Linked DNA regions of Saccharomyces cerevisiae S288C. Changing the gene in region 3 together with the main gene of any one other region gives a genetic interaction. Each region holds a gene or a part of one and is shown on either strand. Other genes may lie near its edges.

The links. A genetic interaction does not mean that the proteins touch.
Region 1: mutations in HAP3 (region 3) and RCO1 together harm fitness more than expected from each alone (negative genetic interaction), as found in Saccharomyces cerevisiae (4 studies listed by BioGRID).
Region 2: mutations in HAP3 (region 3) and ZRG8 together harm fitness more than expected from each alone (negative genetic interaction), as found in Saccharomyces cerevisiae (2 studies listed by BioGRID).

The regions. Positions count from the first base shown.
Region 1 is NC_001145.3:412,021-416,831, reverse strand, and holds RCO1 (Rco1p), read right to left. Parts: upstream 2,851-4,811; coding exon 796-2,850; downstream 1-795. Other genes in the region: sister chromatid cohesion factor PDS5, read left to right, coding at 1-636; YMR075C-A (uncharacterized protein), read left to right, coding at 779-1,144; SDD2 (Sdd2p), read left to right, coding at 3,359-3,796; IRC21 (Irc21p), read left to right, coding at 3,959-4,564; DNA-binding protein ABF2, read right to left, coding at 4,712-4,811. UniProt on the Saccharomyces cerevisiae protein: Catalytic component of the RPD3C(S) histone deacetylase complex responsible for the deacetylation of lysine residues on the N-terminal part of the core histones (H2A, H2B, H3 and H4).
Region 2 is NC_001137.3:217,262-222,910, reverse strand, and holds ZRG8 (Zrg8p), read left to right. Parts: upstream 1-1,623; coding exon 1,624-4,854; downstream 4,855-5,649. Other genes in the region: EDC2 (Edc2p), read right to left, coding at 1-272; YER034W (uncharacterized protein), read right to left, coding at 508-1,065; FIR1 (Fir1p), read right to left, coding at 5,218-5,649. UniProt on the Saccharomyces cerevisiae protein: Involved in the integrity functions of RAM, a conserved signaling network that regulates maintenance of polarized growth and daughter-cell-specific transcription.
Region 3 is NC_001134.8:181,160-184,052, forward strand, and holds HAP3 (Hap3p), read right to left. Parts: upstream 936-2,893; coding exon 501-935; downstream 1-500. Other genes in the region: ATP-dependent Lon protease PIM1, read right to left, coding at 1-116; RFT1 (glycolipid translocation protein), read left to right, coding at 1,242-2,893. UniProt on the Saccharomyces cerevisiae protein: Acts a component of the CCAT-binding factor, which is a transcriptional activator and binds to the upstream activation site (UAS2) of the CYC1 gene and other genes involved in mitochondrial electron transport and activates their expression.

The sequences.
Region 1 (4,811 bases), on a different chromosome or scaffold from region 3:
TTCAGTTTGCTCTATTATTTATCAGAAAGGGTAAAAAACTATCAAGATAAGTTAGTTGAGGATGAAATTGATGAAGAAGAAGGACCACAAAAAGAAGAAGCGCCAAAGAAGCATAGACCTTACGGTCAGAAAATGTATATCATAGGTGAGCTGTCGCAAATGATTCTATTGAATTTAAAAGAGAAGAAAAATTGGCAACATTCAGCATATCCAGGTAAATTAAACTTACCATCAGATTTGTTCAAACCTTTTGCAACGGTTCAGGAGGCCCAGTTATCTTTCAAAACATACATACCAGAGAGCTTGACTGAAAAAATACAAAACAATATAAAAGCTAAAATCGGACGGATTCTTCACACGTCACAAACTCAAAGACAAAGGCTTCAAAAGAGGTTATTAGCTCACGAAAACAATGAATCACAAAAAAAAAAGAAGAAAGTTCATCATGCGAGATCACAGGCTGACGACGAAGAAGGTGATGGGGATCGAGAATCAGACAGTGATGATGACAGTTATTCACCGTCTAACAAAAATGAAACCAAGAAAGGGCACGAAAATATTGTGATGAAGAAATTGAGGGTCAGGAAAGAAGTTGACTACAAAGACGATGAAGATGATGACATCGAGATGACTTAGAAGGGAAAAAAACATCAATTGCTATGTTGTAAATGGAAAAAAAAGGAAAATAGGTAGATCTCTCACTTTAAGATGCGATACATATGCCTATGTATGTGTGTATATATGTAAGGAAGGTGTTCACGTTCCTGATTTATTCTTTATGTATGTACGCCGTTTCTATTCGGATTGGTTTTCGGGATTTTCTATGTTTAAAAATTTTAACAGTTCTTCCTTTGGTTTGGATTCGATAATCTTCTTTAAATATAACAGATGCTTTATTTCATCGCTGGAAAAGTCATTGAATTGTATAGAATCTAGTTCGTTCGGCACGACTACGTTAGTCAGTTCTTTCAAATCCCATAATTTTCTTAAGTTATTGCTTTTGGAAGCCGATTTATTGTTACTACTCTTGTCGTTGTTGCTAACTTGGAAATATATTAAAGAGGCTATGTCTTTGACCATATTATCCTCGCTATTGCCATTTTGGGATCCATTTGATACTAACTTATCTATTAAACTTTCTTGAAATTGAAAGAGTTTTCTTTTTTGAACCATTTTTGATTTGTAAATTTTATCAAAAAAATCATATTTAATGGAATTTTCATCTATTTGTGTAATTTTGAAATCTTGATTGAAATCATAATCTGTATGACTAGTTGTTGGTATGATTTGAATGTTCCCGTTATTTTGGTAGCCTATTTTTTGTAAAGGTTCATAATAAAGTTGGTTTTTCTTGTTTATCAATCGTTGTTTTTTCCACACCTTATAATTTACGCTATTATCTTCTTGACAATGGTGTATCTTTTTGTAAACTTTAGTTGGGGAATGTAGAGGACATTTCCATTTTGAACCTAAGTTCTTGAAAGAAGCCCTCGGTACACAATCCAAATGCCATGGAGTCTGACAATAATCACAAGTCATTATTAATCTTGAATTTTCTGGATGAGACCATGAACCTAGTCTGGTTTGATTGCATTTGTAACAAATTAAAAACTTACCTGAATTTGAATCTATATGTGTATCCGGGTTGTAAGAGTCCAATTTAGTTATGCTTTGGCCATAAGAAGTGTTAAACAATTGTCTATCAGTTAATGGAATCTTATCATTCTCATCAGAGTATTGTCCTCTCGAACCCGTTTTCACAGCAGGAAAGGTTTCTTTTATATAATTTGGTAGCTGGAACTGTTTTGGGTTGTGGGAATCGATATTGAAAAGTAATTTAGCAAAAATCTTGACGTTGTTATTTTGCTTAATGAAGTTGGATTCAATTTTTTTTAAAGTTGCCATTGAGTTATTTATGAAGATTTTAAACTTACATTCATTACAATGCCAATCACCTTTAGGCAGGTTGTTCGGATCAATTGGTGGGTCTAAGCAAAGAAAGTGAAAGGATTTGGGGCATGTATCACAGCATAAAAAAGAACCTGACTGATTACAAGCCGAACAAAAATCTTCATTCTCAAAATCTATGGTTGAATTGTTCTTGTCCCTGAAAATTTTTTCACTCGCATTCGATGTTGACTTGATGGAATTTTGGCCAAATAGTTTACTTTTTGAATCATAGGTAGCATTCGTTGAAAGTATTATTTTGGTTCTAATATTTGATAGCTTTTTATTATCGCGGTCGCTTTCAGGTTCACGGTCACGAGTTCTGTTTATTATATCGCCATTCCAACCAATAGTTGACCGTATATTGCTCTCTTCAGTCATGTTCTCAGTTAAAAACGTTTTCAAATCATTTCTGTTCAAATCCTGAAAATTTTTCGGCACCTGAGTAAATCTTTTACTGGGGACCAGCGTCATTTCTGAGTTGTTCGATTGGCCTCCCAAATTTTTTCTATAATTCCAAAGAGACTCTCGCTTGATTTTCTCAGAAGGACCTTTATTTAACGGCAATCCAGTGACAGATACCTTCGAATCTTCCGAGATGGTGGATGGCTCATTAAGTTTGATGATATTACCCTTGGAGTCCTTTTCAAGAAGTTCCTTGGGTTCTTCTTCCGGGATATTGTCTTCAACTGCAAGATTGCTATGCTCGTTCTTGAATGATCTTTCTATACCTTCAGAAGTGATGATCTTTCTCCTTTTCAAATCGTAATTTACATTCTGGGAGGATAGTCTCTTAGGACGTTTTTTCTCTTTGGAAGAAGATGAAGAGAGAGAAGAAGATGAAGGAGAAGAACTGTTGGAATGTGAGGGCGACCTAGTAGTATCTTTCTTGCTGGTGTCCATTGTATTATTATTAGCAGATGGTAATGGAAGTGTCTTTTATAGGTTTTTCTATGGTGATTATTCTCGTTTATACTTGGTATTCTTCTTCCTTCCTCTCGTGCTTGTTGCAAATGTTCAAACGCGTAGTGGGTACGTCGTTCTCTACAAAGGAATGAGGCAGATCTTGCAGCGAGCTACTAAAACTACCACTTATGGGTTAACACGATATATATGTATTTATATCTACTAATATGGTATTAAGGCTCAAAAATAACCTTGCAACAGAGAGCAATAGTATAATTTCCTACATGAGGAAGAAAGTTGCCTATTATGGTGAGCAGGTGAAATCCTAGCTGCGAACGGGAAACTTATTCGGACGAGAAACAGATGAGAAACAGATGAGAATTTTTGGGCTGGGTAAGCGAGAATTTTTATACCACTTGTGGTTCTACAAGGAGAACCAAGAGTAAAAGTTGAAAAATCTTCTTGCTCTCTGGATTACAATTCAGGAGGAAGTGTGTGCTCAGATATGGACCCAGAGTTACAAGCTATTAGGGAAGCCAGATTGGCTCAGTTGAAAAACAACAGTGGGGGTACCAACGGCGATAGAAATAGCGGTGCTAATAATGGTGGAGGTGAAAATTCCGCTCCCGTTGGTGCAGCTATTGCAAATTTCTTGGAGCCACAAGCTTTAGAAAGATTATCTCGAGTGGCCTTGGTCCGTAGAGACAGGGCCCAAGCAGTAGAGACATACTTAAAGAAACTGATTGCTACAAACAACGTCACTCATAAAATCACTGAAGCTGAAATTGTTTCAATCTTGAATGGTATCGCCAAGCAACAAAATTCACAAAATAACAGTAAGATTATCTTCGAACGGAAAGATTTCAGCGAAGATCTGAATTCATTTGACAAGCAGAATGCTAAAAATGATGACGACGAAGATGATGACGACTTCTTTGATTAGTTTATATAAACGAATAATATGTTTTTTCGTATAATGTTACATTTAGTACAAATCATATCCTTTATAGAACTAGAGTTAAAGTTACATTAATTATGTGTAGCAAAAGGACGAATAAGCAGAATATAACATATTAGCAGGTGCTTAGATTACACTCATAGAGATATGAGTAGTGACGGCATGAACAGAGATGTTTCAAACTCGAAACCAAATGTCAGATTCGCTGCTCCTCAGCGACTAAGCGTTGCTCATCCTGCCATATCATCCCCGCTGCATATGCCCATGTCGAAGTCGTCAAGAAAGCCTCTTGTAAGAACCAAAATAAGACTAGATCCTGGGCACAGTGCTCTGGACTGGCACTCTCTAACCTCCAATCCAGCGAATTATTATACAAAATTCGTTTCGCTACAGCTTATCCAGGATTTACTCGATGATCCGGTATTTCAAAAAGATAACTTCAAGTTTTCACCTTCACAACTGAAGAACCAATTGCTTGTCCAAAAGATACCCCTTTATAAAATAATGCCACCCTTAAGAATAAACAGAAAAATCGTAAAGAAGCATTGTAAAGGTGAGGACGAGTTATGGTGCGTTATAAACGGCAAAGTCTATGACATTTCTAGTTATTTGAAGTTCCATCCAGGTGGTACGGACATCTTAATAAAGCACCGTAATAGTGACGATTTGATTACATATTTTAATAAGTATCATCAATGGGTTAACTATGAAAAATTATTACAGGTTTGTTTCATTGGCGTTGTATGCGAATAAAGGTTACCAGAGATAAAAAAAAAGTTTGAAGACTTACATAGGATATAAAAACACTACACACTTGCTTGGTTAAGTTAAATTTATTTATTTGTTTGGATAGGAACGGAAAGAATAAAGGCATAAAAAACATTGTGAGAGTACCGCGGTCTAGTTGAGAGGGTAGCGAGCATTATATTCTTGGATAGCTTTTTTGTACTCTTGTATGTATTTGTCCTTAATGCTTTGATCCAAGGATTGCCATTTATCT
Region 2 (5,649 bases), on a different chromosome or scaffold from region 3:
TTTTTAGGGGCCTTATCATGTAGGAAGGCATCTATGTTAACAGTGACCATCGTTGCCTTATCGTCCTCGTGTCCCGTCTTCGAGGTGCGTTCCCTAGGTTCTCGCCGCTGTTTTGTAGACTTACCGAAGTTTGGTTTCTTGCCATTGGGCAAACTCTGCGTCGGTGGAACTAATATTTGAGTTTTAGTGGGGCGCATGTGCTCCTTGGCGGAAGGAGGACTTTCCCTTGTGACAATCTTGACTTTTGCAGAATGTTTTGTCTCGGAACCCATTATGAGAGATATTTAATTTTGACTATTATAAAAACGTTTGTGTTTGAGTTTCTGTTAGTGTATAACTTTGTATGTAGTGACGTTATTGTCCGGTCTATCAGGAAGGTAATAGGGCACGGGAGGCCGTTGTTTTATAAGTACGGGCATAAGCCGCAAGAAAAAGAAACGTTAAGAACAAAGAAGAAAAAAAGGGGCGCTGATAATCTTTTCACGCAGTAACTGTCGTACCGCGCGATTAGAGCAGTCCATCAAGGAAATCCTGATCGGTCTCTAGTTCTTCCGGTAGATCGGTCGAAGGGGCACTGATCTTCTTGCCCGCACGATCATGATCACCTTGTACGTGAATGGGAACGACTAATGATTCGGGCTCAGCCGCTGTTATAGCCGATGTTGTATTCTGCCGTCCGAGCCAACGATTGAGCTCATCCGTATTCATCTGCTTGAGGTCTTTGATTTTCAAAGTATCTTTATTAGCAACATTATTGACGGCTGTGGCGTCGTCGTTCTGCTGGAGCCGATTTTTGAGGACGTCTTTTAGCACCTTGTTCAACTCTGCATTGGCGACTGCAGAATGCGGGTCCTCGAGTACCGGGTCCTCATAGTACCTGTCCTCGTTTGACTTCAGGGCGGGCTGTTCTTGGTCTTGATCTTTCTCCTCTGTGGTAGCTTTCTCTTCTTTTTGGCGGTTCAATAGCCGGTACTTTCTATCACTGGGTGTGGCATGTTTTCTTTTCAATTTCTGTTTATCTTGAAATTTTTTTCGATTATCCTTCTTTAAGCTGAATGCATCCATTGCGTTTTCAATTGTCTTGTTTTTTTTTTTGTTTTGCTCGTTTTAAGTAGAATAACGTTATTAGTTGTAGCATGTGCTCATCTCCATGAGGTTTCTCCTAATCACTTCCTTTCTTCTCCTTCACCCATACACCCGCCAGCTTTCTTCAATCCGGGTATCGGTTAAATGCAGAGTGCCTAAATGGGCTGCAGATTGACCACTTTGGGTTTTAAGCTTTTCTCCTGATCGCTTTATCCGGACATATTCTCTTAAACCGTTCTTCTACCCGTTTGGTAATACTTCATAAACACAATATGATATTGCTGAGAACGCATTTACGACTGCAAATCTACTATTGAAAACAATTTTAAACATCTGGTCCAATCCAAGGTTTAATAACTATCATTACTTGAGGTGCAACCGCTTTCTTGTACCTTAAATCTTAGCTGGTTATTTTCCTTTTTTTTTTTTTAGTTCCTTTAAGCCTATTTATTACCTTGCGTTTTCGCACAAACCAACTGTTTTTGCCCAAAAGGATCTGCATCACAAGACGCACACGCATAACTGGAATATTTCATCATGCGGTCTTTCATAAAAGCCCATAAGAAGTCCACGTCGTTTGATGAAAGCCCCAAGCGACATAGCAACTTCAGTGGCAATACTAATAATAGTTCTCAAAGGTCAAGTGATGACTCCTTAGACTTTCTACCATCTACACCATCACAAATGAATTACGATAGCATTCCACCACCCGCGAAACACTCACCTGGATTTGAGTCTTTCCATCGTTTGGCTAACAAGACTTCAAAGTTGTTCAAGAAAACTTCAAACTCAAACTTAAACTCGCATTTAGCTTCAACTCCAACCACAAGCACAAATCAGACTACTTCAAATTCATTTGTTCTCCAAAATCCACCCACAAAAAATACTGGACCTCCGCCGCCATTACCACCGCCGCTCTTTCCTTCCTCTTCTACCTCTTCCTTTTCACGTCATGACAATGAAAGTGAATATACTGCATATAAAAAAACTTCTCCTGCAAAAGATTTTAATAGAACCACAGACTCTCTGCCTGCTATTAAGGGCACAATTACTCATTCGTGGGGAGATTCCAAGGTCGAATCGCACGTAATAATATTAAACGATCCTGCTTCCCCAGCATCAAACACATCTGAAGCGACTTCTTCTAAACAATTCAAAACCCCTATCATTGGCAATGAAAATCTAACTTCAACTACATCACCATCTAACCTGGAACCTGCCATAAGAATATTGAACAAGAACAAGGGTAAACAGCAGGAAAATATCGACGATGCTGAGGACGGGTCATCTAAGAAGGAACATCATGTTTATAAAGCATTAGCGCTTGCCAAAAATAGAAACAGACAAGCAAGAATTCATTCTCATGATGATATAATAAATTTGGGAAAGGCTTCTCAAATGGATATGAGTCTACTAGCCGCTGCGTTTTCCGGAAATTCAACCACCACCATTAATAATGACCAATCTTCTAATGAACAAACCGATGAGAAAATATTAGACATCGAAAGAGTGACCACTACTTCCACTTTAACCTCTTCCGAAACCACATCACCAATAAACAAGTCACCTTGTTTTTATAGTCAAACACTTTCCCTCTCACCAAAGATACGACACGGCGACTTACAATCATCACCTTCAAAAGTGAACAAAAACGATAGTCAAAACGAGACCTTGAACAAGAAAAAAGTAAGGATTAGTCTTAATAGAAAAGAAGAAGAAAAGGTGTATTCCCTCAACAACAATTCCGATGAATACTCTGTCAATGAAAAAGAAACCCATAAAGCCAACGATTGTAATGACGAATCTTCTGAAAACGGTGATGGCGATAATGATCATGATGATGATTATGATGACGATGATGATGACGATGATGATGATGATGAGTCGGAATTTTCGTTTGAATATGCCGGCATAAACGTAAGGACATCATCTGTAAAGTATTACTCCAAACCGGAACCGGCGGCAAATGTATACATAGACGATCTATATGAGGATGAGAACTTTGATGACGATATGAATTGTATAGAAGATGATGAGAGTGGTAATGAGGGAAACGAAATATGCGGTTTATCGACTCGATTCGAAGAAACATCCTTGAAAAGCAATAAAGTCAAAAAGTTCAATGATCTTTTTAACTTGAGCGATGATGATGAGGAGGAGGATGGTAAAGATAACAGTAACAATGGAGATGAAAATGAGAGTGATAATCTTTATCAAAAACGATTAGAAAACGGGAAAGAAACTTTTAATGGTAACCATGGCGGACACCATGATGATGCATCTCTTGGAGAAACGGTTGACAACAAAGAGCAGTTTCTAATAAACGATAATGTCAAGAAGCCTATTCAAAAATACAATGACCTTTTCGATTTGTCTGATGAGGACGATAACGACGACAAAGAGATGTCAGAAGCTGAGTCTTATATGTTTTCCGATGAAGCTCCTAGTATAGAAAGTGGACCAGCAAATGCAAAATCAACACGGGGGATCTATAGTCAATCTAACAAAAATATCATACGTGATGGAAAGCCGAACTATAGTTTCTCTCTCAAAAGGAATAATTCGGATGATGAAACGGAGCACACTTCTGCAATAAAGGCTTCCCTTACAGGTACTACTGGCTCTACCAAGCCTACAGTAAAGTCGTTTTCAGATATATTTAATGTTGATGATAGTGCAAGTGACGCTGAAAGTGATTCTGGGACAGGAGGGAACAATTCTAACGGCTTAGTATCCAATGATTCAGAAAGGCAGGTCTCCCTGCAAAGTTCTTTGTATGAAACCAAATCAGAATCCCATCCTCCCAATCATCCTCATTCGCAGATTCTTCAAACACCGGCTAAGATTGTAATAACTCCAAGCGTTTCTGATGCGCAATCACAAGCCCTTGCAATCACCGATGATGATGGTGAAGATGATGATGATGACACTAGTAGCATACTAAGAACTCCGTTTCAACTTATTGATTCCTCTCATTCACAGCAGCCGCACTATGCGAGCCCACAGTATACGGCTGTACTCAATAGCCCCCCTCTTCCGCCGCCAGCTAGGTCTCAATCACTAAAATATCATGACTTAAATTGCGATTTAGATTCAGAAGTCCCCAGACCAATGAGTAATCTCTTTTTCATTGATGAAGCTGAGGAAGACGAATACAATCAGAAAAGTAAGTTTTTTGATTTCGACCACTACGACATCGATGAAATTAATGGCATTCCAGAGGATTTTAACTTCTCTGATTCTGAAAGAGATGATCTTAATCGTCGTACACTGAAATCTCCTTTACGGGGCGGCTCCAAGAATAGAGAAGTCTCTCCTTTTTCATCTGTGTCATCGTCTTTCAGAAGTACGCATAGTTTTAATGGGAAATTAACGATCAACCAAGGGGCTAAAGAATTAGCTCCGATGAAAAATAAGATTGAACTTACAAACAAGACTGTCACCTTCTTTAACAGTAATAATTGGAATACTTATGACTGCAATTCACTCTCCCGAAAAACTTCATCCCAAATGAGAGATAGTAAATATCAAAATCATAATGTTGGTCAAAACGTAGAACCTTCAAGTGTTCTTTCGCCACAACATCAAATATCGAATGGTTTAGATGGAAAATGCAATGATAACTACGTAATCTCACCAAATTTACCGACAACTATCACACCAACTAATTCATTTACTAAACCCACACCGGAGTTCTCAAATGACTACTCATTAAGCCCTATTCAGGAGACACCATCTTCTGTTCAAAGCTCGCCAAAGAGAGCGTGAGAAAATACTGCATGTTTTTTATGCCCGTAGCCTCCACATTTCTTCCCTAGTAGGTGACTAGCTTTAAAACCTTTGCGTAATGTTCGTATTTGTAATCAATTGCATGTGCCAAGGATGATCTTTGGTAGATATAAAAGTACATATTATTAATTTGTTTTACAGAATTGGCATGTCTGAATATAGTTTTTTTAAGAAAGTACAAAAACTAGAAGTTTTTCTTACATGTAAGAGATATGAAATTTTGTAATGTCCGATGAAAAAATAAAATAGGCAATAAGCAAATTGCCATTCCGATAAATCTTCATGCGATGAGCTGGTCAAATCTGTTTACCAGAACAATTTGTAGGGTTGTTTTTTTTTTTTTTATTTTAGTTTGCGATGAGATGGAATGTCGTTATGAATACTGGACTGATACTTGTTCGGGATCAAAGAATTCCCTTTTTCATCATACAGTGGAAAAGGCAACGGCGGAAGTACTCTTGATTTTTTTGGCTTTGTTTGTTGTCCTTTTTCTGAGAATTTATGCTTCTCATTTACCAGTTGATAAATAATTCTTTTTGCATCATCTGCAGTTTTATCACACATGCCCAAAATTTCGTTGCAATGGCTTAGACGTTTCTTCTGTTGCTCATTTTTAGCTTTTTGAGCATGGCAGACTCTTGTTCGTGATATATCGTTATTTTTGAGGCCTACATCTTCATCCTCATCTAAAAGAATAACCTCAACCATTTTACCATCTCTTTTTTCGTAAATGGTATTAAAATCCAAATCGTGTCTATTTGAAGGAGTATTCTT
Region 3 (2,893 bases):
GATGCGAACCTTCTTTGAGAAACTGCAGCAGTCTTAGCGATAGATCGGTAATATTGGATAGCTCTTGTGGTCCTCGCCACTGTGCTAAGGGTCTTTGTGGTTCTTGTTCTTAGCATGCTCTATTTGCAAATCTTTTCGTTCAAGCACCTCGAAAACCAAAAGAAAAAACAACTAAACTTTGAAACAGCTGCAAATGCACACTGTATTATCAGGTTTTAGGTGTCCTAGTAACCGTATCAGCTTGTCGTTGCTGCAATACCAATGCAAAAGCATGGCTAAAAGACTTCGTCTGACTTATTTCCTTCCGGTGGCAAACATCATACACCCTTTACAAAGCACCCATACATTACATTGAATACATTACACACTAACAATAAAATATTATCTATATCGTTACATTCATTAATTACACGAGAACCAACGACCAGCAGGAAATAGCCCCGTGCTATTCCATCCTGACAGCTAGCAACTTTTGCGATCTACCACCTGGTTTTGTCTTCTCAAGGCACCTCTTCGTCGTCCTGCTCATACATTAGTTGATTCTTCAGCGCCTGTTGTTGCCTGTATTTAGCCAAGTAGATTTTCAACACCTCTGCATAGTTCTCGAATCCTAAGGCGTGCAATGATATGAGAATGTCTTCCCCGTTTATCGTCTTTCTTTTGTCAGCAGCGCATCGATCGCTGGCCTCGCTAGTCACAAAAGAAATGAGCTCACTGACACACTCCTGCATGCACTCTTTCGCATCTTTCGATACCTTAGCACTCGGTGGGAGAGTATTCTTCATGAGTCGCGCTACATTGTTGATGGGTAGCCATCTGTCCTGCTCTCTTAGCGTGGAAATTTGCTGCAAACTGCCGCTGGAGCTAGCGTTTCCACCGTTCTCCTGAGTATCCTCTGGGCTTGTGCTAACATGTTCGGACTCGTTGGTATTCATATTCTCGAGAGGTTTGTGCCACTTGTGTTACTATCTAGCTTAGTCCTGCTCTTGAGTTTGATTGGCGGAAAGCTACTATTCGCAGCTCTTTTTTTACTTAGTCTGAAAGAGCGGACCAAAAAACGCACGTAGCGCGATATTGTCGTGGCATCGAACGTAATATGGTACTTCTATTGTGCTATATTTTGGCAGAAGGTTTGCAGTAATCGCAGCCTGGAGAAGACAATGCGTATTAGTAGCAGTAAAGGGCCACAGATAGGGTGATTTGAAGTTGATTCTGCTTTTGTCAGTGAAGGAAAAGAAAAAATGGCGAAAAAAAACTCACAATTGCCCTCTACTAGTGAGCAGATCTTGGAAAGGTCCACAACAGGAGCTACCTTCCTCATGATGGGCCAACTTTTCACCAAACTGGTAACGTTCATACTAAATAATTTGTTGATCAGGTTTCTGTCGCCCAGAATTTTCGGTATCACGGCCTTTCTAGAATTTATACAGGGCACAGTGTTATTTTTTAGCAGAGATGCGATTCGTCTGTCGACGTTGAGAATCTCAGACTCCGGTAATGGAATAATCGATGATGACGACGAGGAGGAGTACCAGGAAACTCATTACAAGTCTAAAGTTTTGCAAACCGCAGTCAATTTTGCTTACATTCCGTTTTGGATCGGGTTTCCACTGTCCATTGGTCTTATCGCCTGGCAGTACAGAAACATCAACGCGTATTTCATCACTCTTCCATTCTTCAGGTGGTCGATTTTTCTTATCTGGCTGAGTATCATCGTGGAGCTGTTAAGCGAGCCATTCTTCATCGTCAACCAGTTTATGTTGAACTATGCCGCAAGGTCAAGATTTGAAAGCATCGCGGTGACTACAGGATGTATTGTCAATTTTATAGTTGTTTATGCCGTTCAGCAATCCCGCTACCCAATGGGGGTTGTCACATCGGACATTGACAAAGAAGGCATCGCCATATTGGCATTTGCCTTGGGAAAGTTAGCACATTCGATCACCCTGCTAGCATGTTACTACTGGGACTATCTCAAGAATTTCAAACCAAAGAAATTGTTCAGTACCAGGCTAACGAAGATAAAAACGCGTGAAAATAACGAATTGAAGAAAGGCTACCCAAAGAGCACATCTTATTTTTTCCAAAACGACATTTTACAGCACTTCAAAAAAGTTTATTTTCAACTATGTTTTAAGCATTTGTTGACAGAGGGTGATAAGTTGATTATCAATTCTTTATGTACTGTGGAAGAACAAGGCATTTACGCTCTATTGTCGAACTATGGATCGCTACTAACAAGATTATTATTTGCGCCGATCGAAGAATCTCTGCGGTTATTTTTGGCCCGTTTATTATCCTCGCATAACCCTAAAAATTTAAAACTATCTATTGAAGTCCTGGTGAATTTAACAAGGTTTTACATATACTTATCGTTAATGATCATTGTATTTGGGCCTGCCAATTCATCCTTTTTATTGCAGTTCTTGATTGGCTCGAAATGGTCCACTACTTCCGTTTTGGACACTATAAGAGTCTACTGCTTTTACATCCCATTTTTATCGCTTAATGGTATTTTTGAAGCTTTTTTCCAGAGTGTAGCCACTGGTGACCAAATTTTGAAACATTCATATTTTATGATGGCCTTTTCTGGTATTTTCCTGCTCAATTCCTGGCTTCTTATTGAAAAACTCAAACTATCAATCGAAGGCTTGATATTGAGTAACATCATTAACATGGTGTTGAGAATATTGTATTGTGGAGTTTTCTTGAATAAATTTCATAGGGAACTGTTTACAGATTCCTCTTTTTTCTTCAATTTTAAGGATTTCAAAACAGTTATTATTGCTGGCTCAACGATCTGTCTACTTGACTGGTGGTTTATTGGGTACGTTAAAAATTTACAACAATTTGTTGTTAACGTATTATTCGCAATGGGATTGTTAGCGTTAAT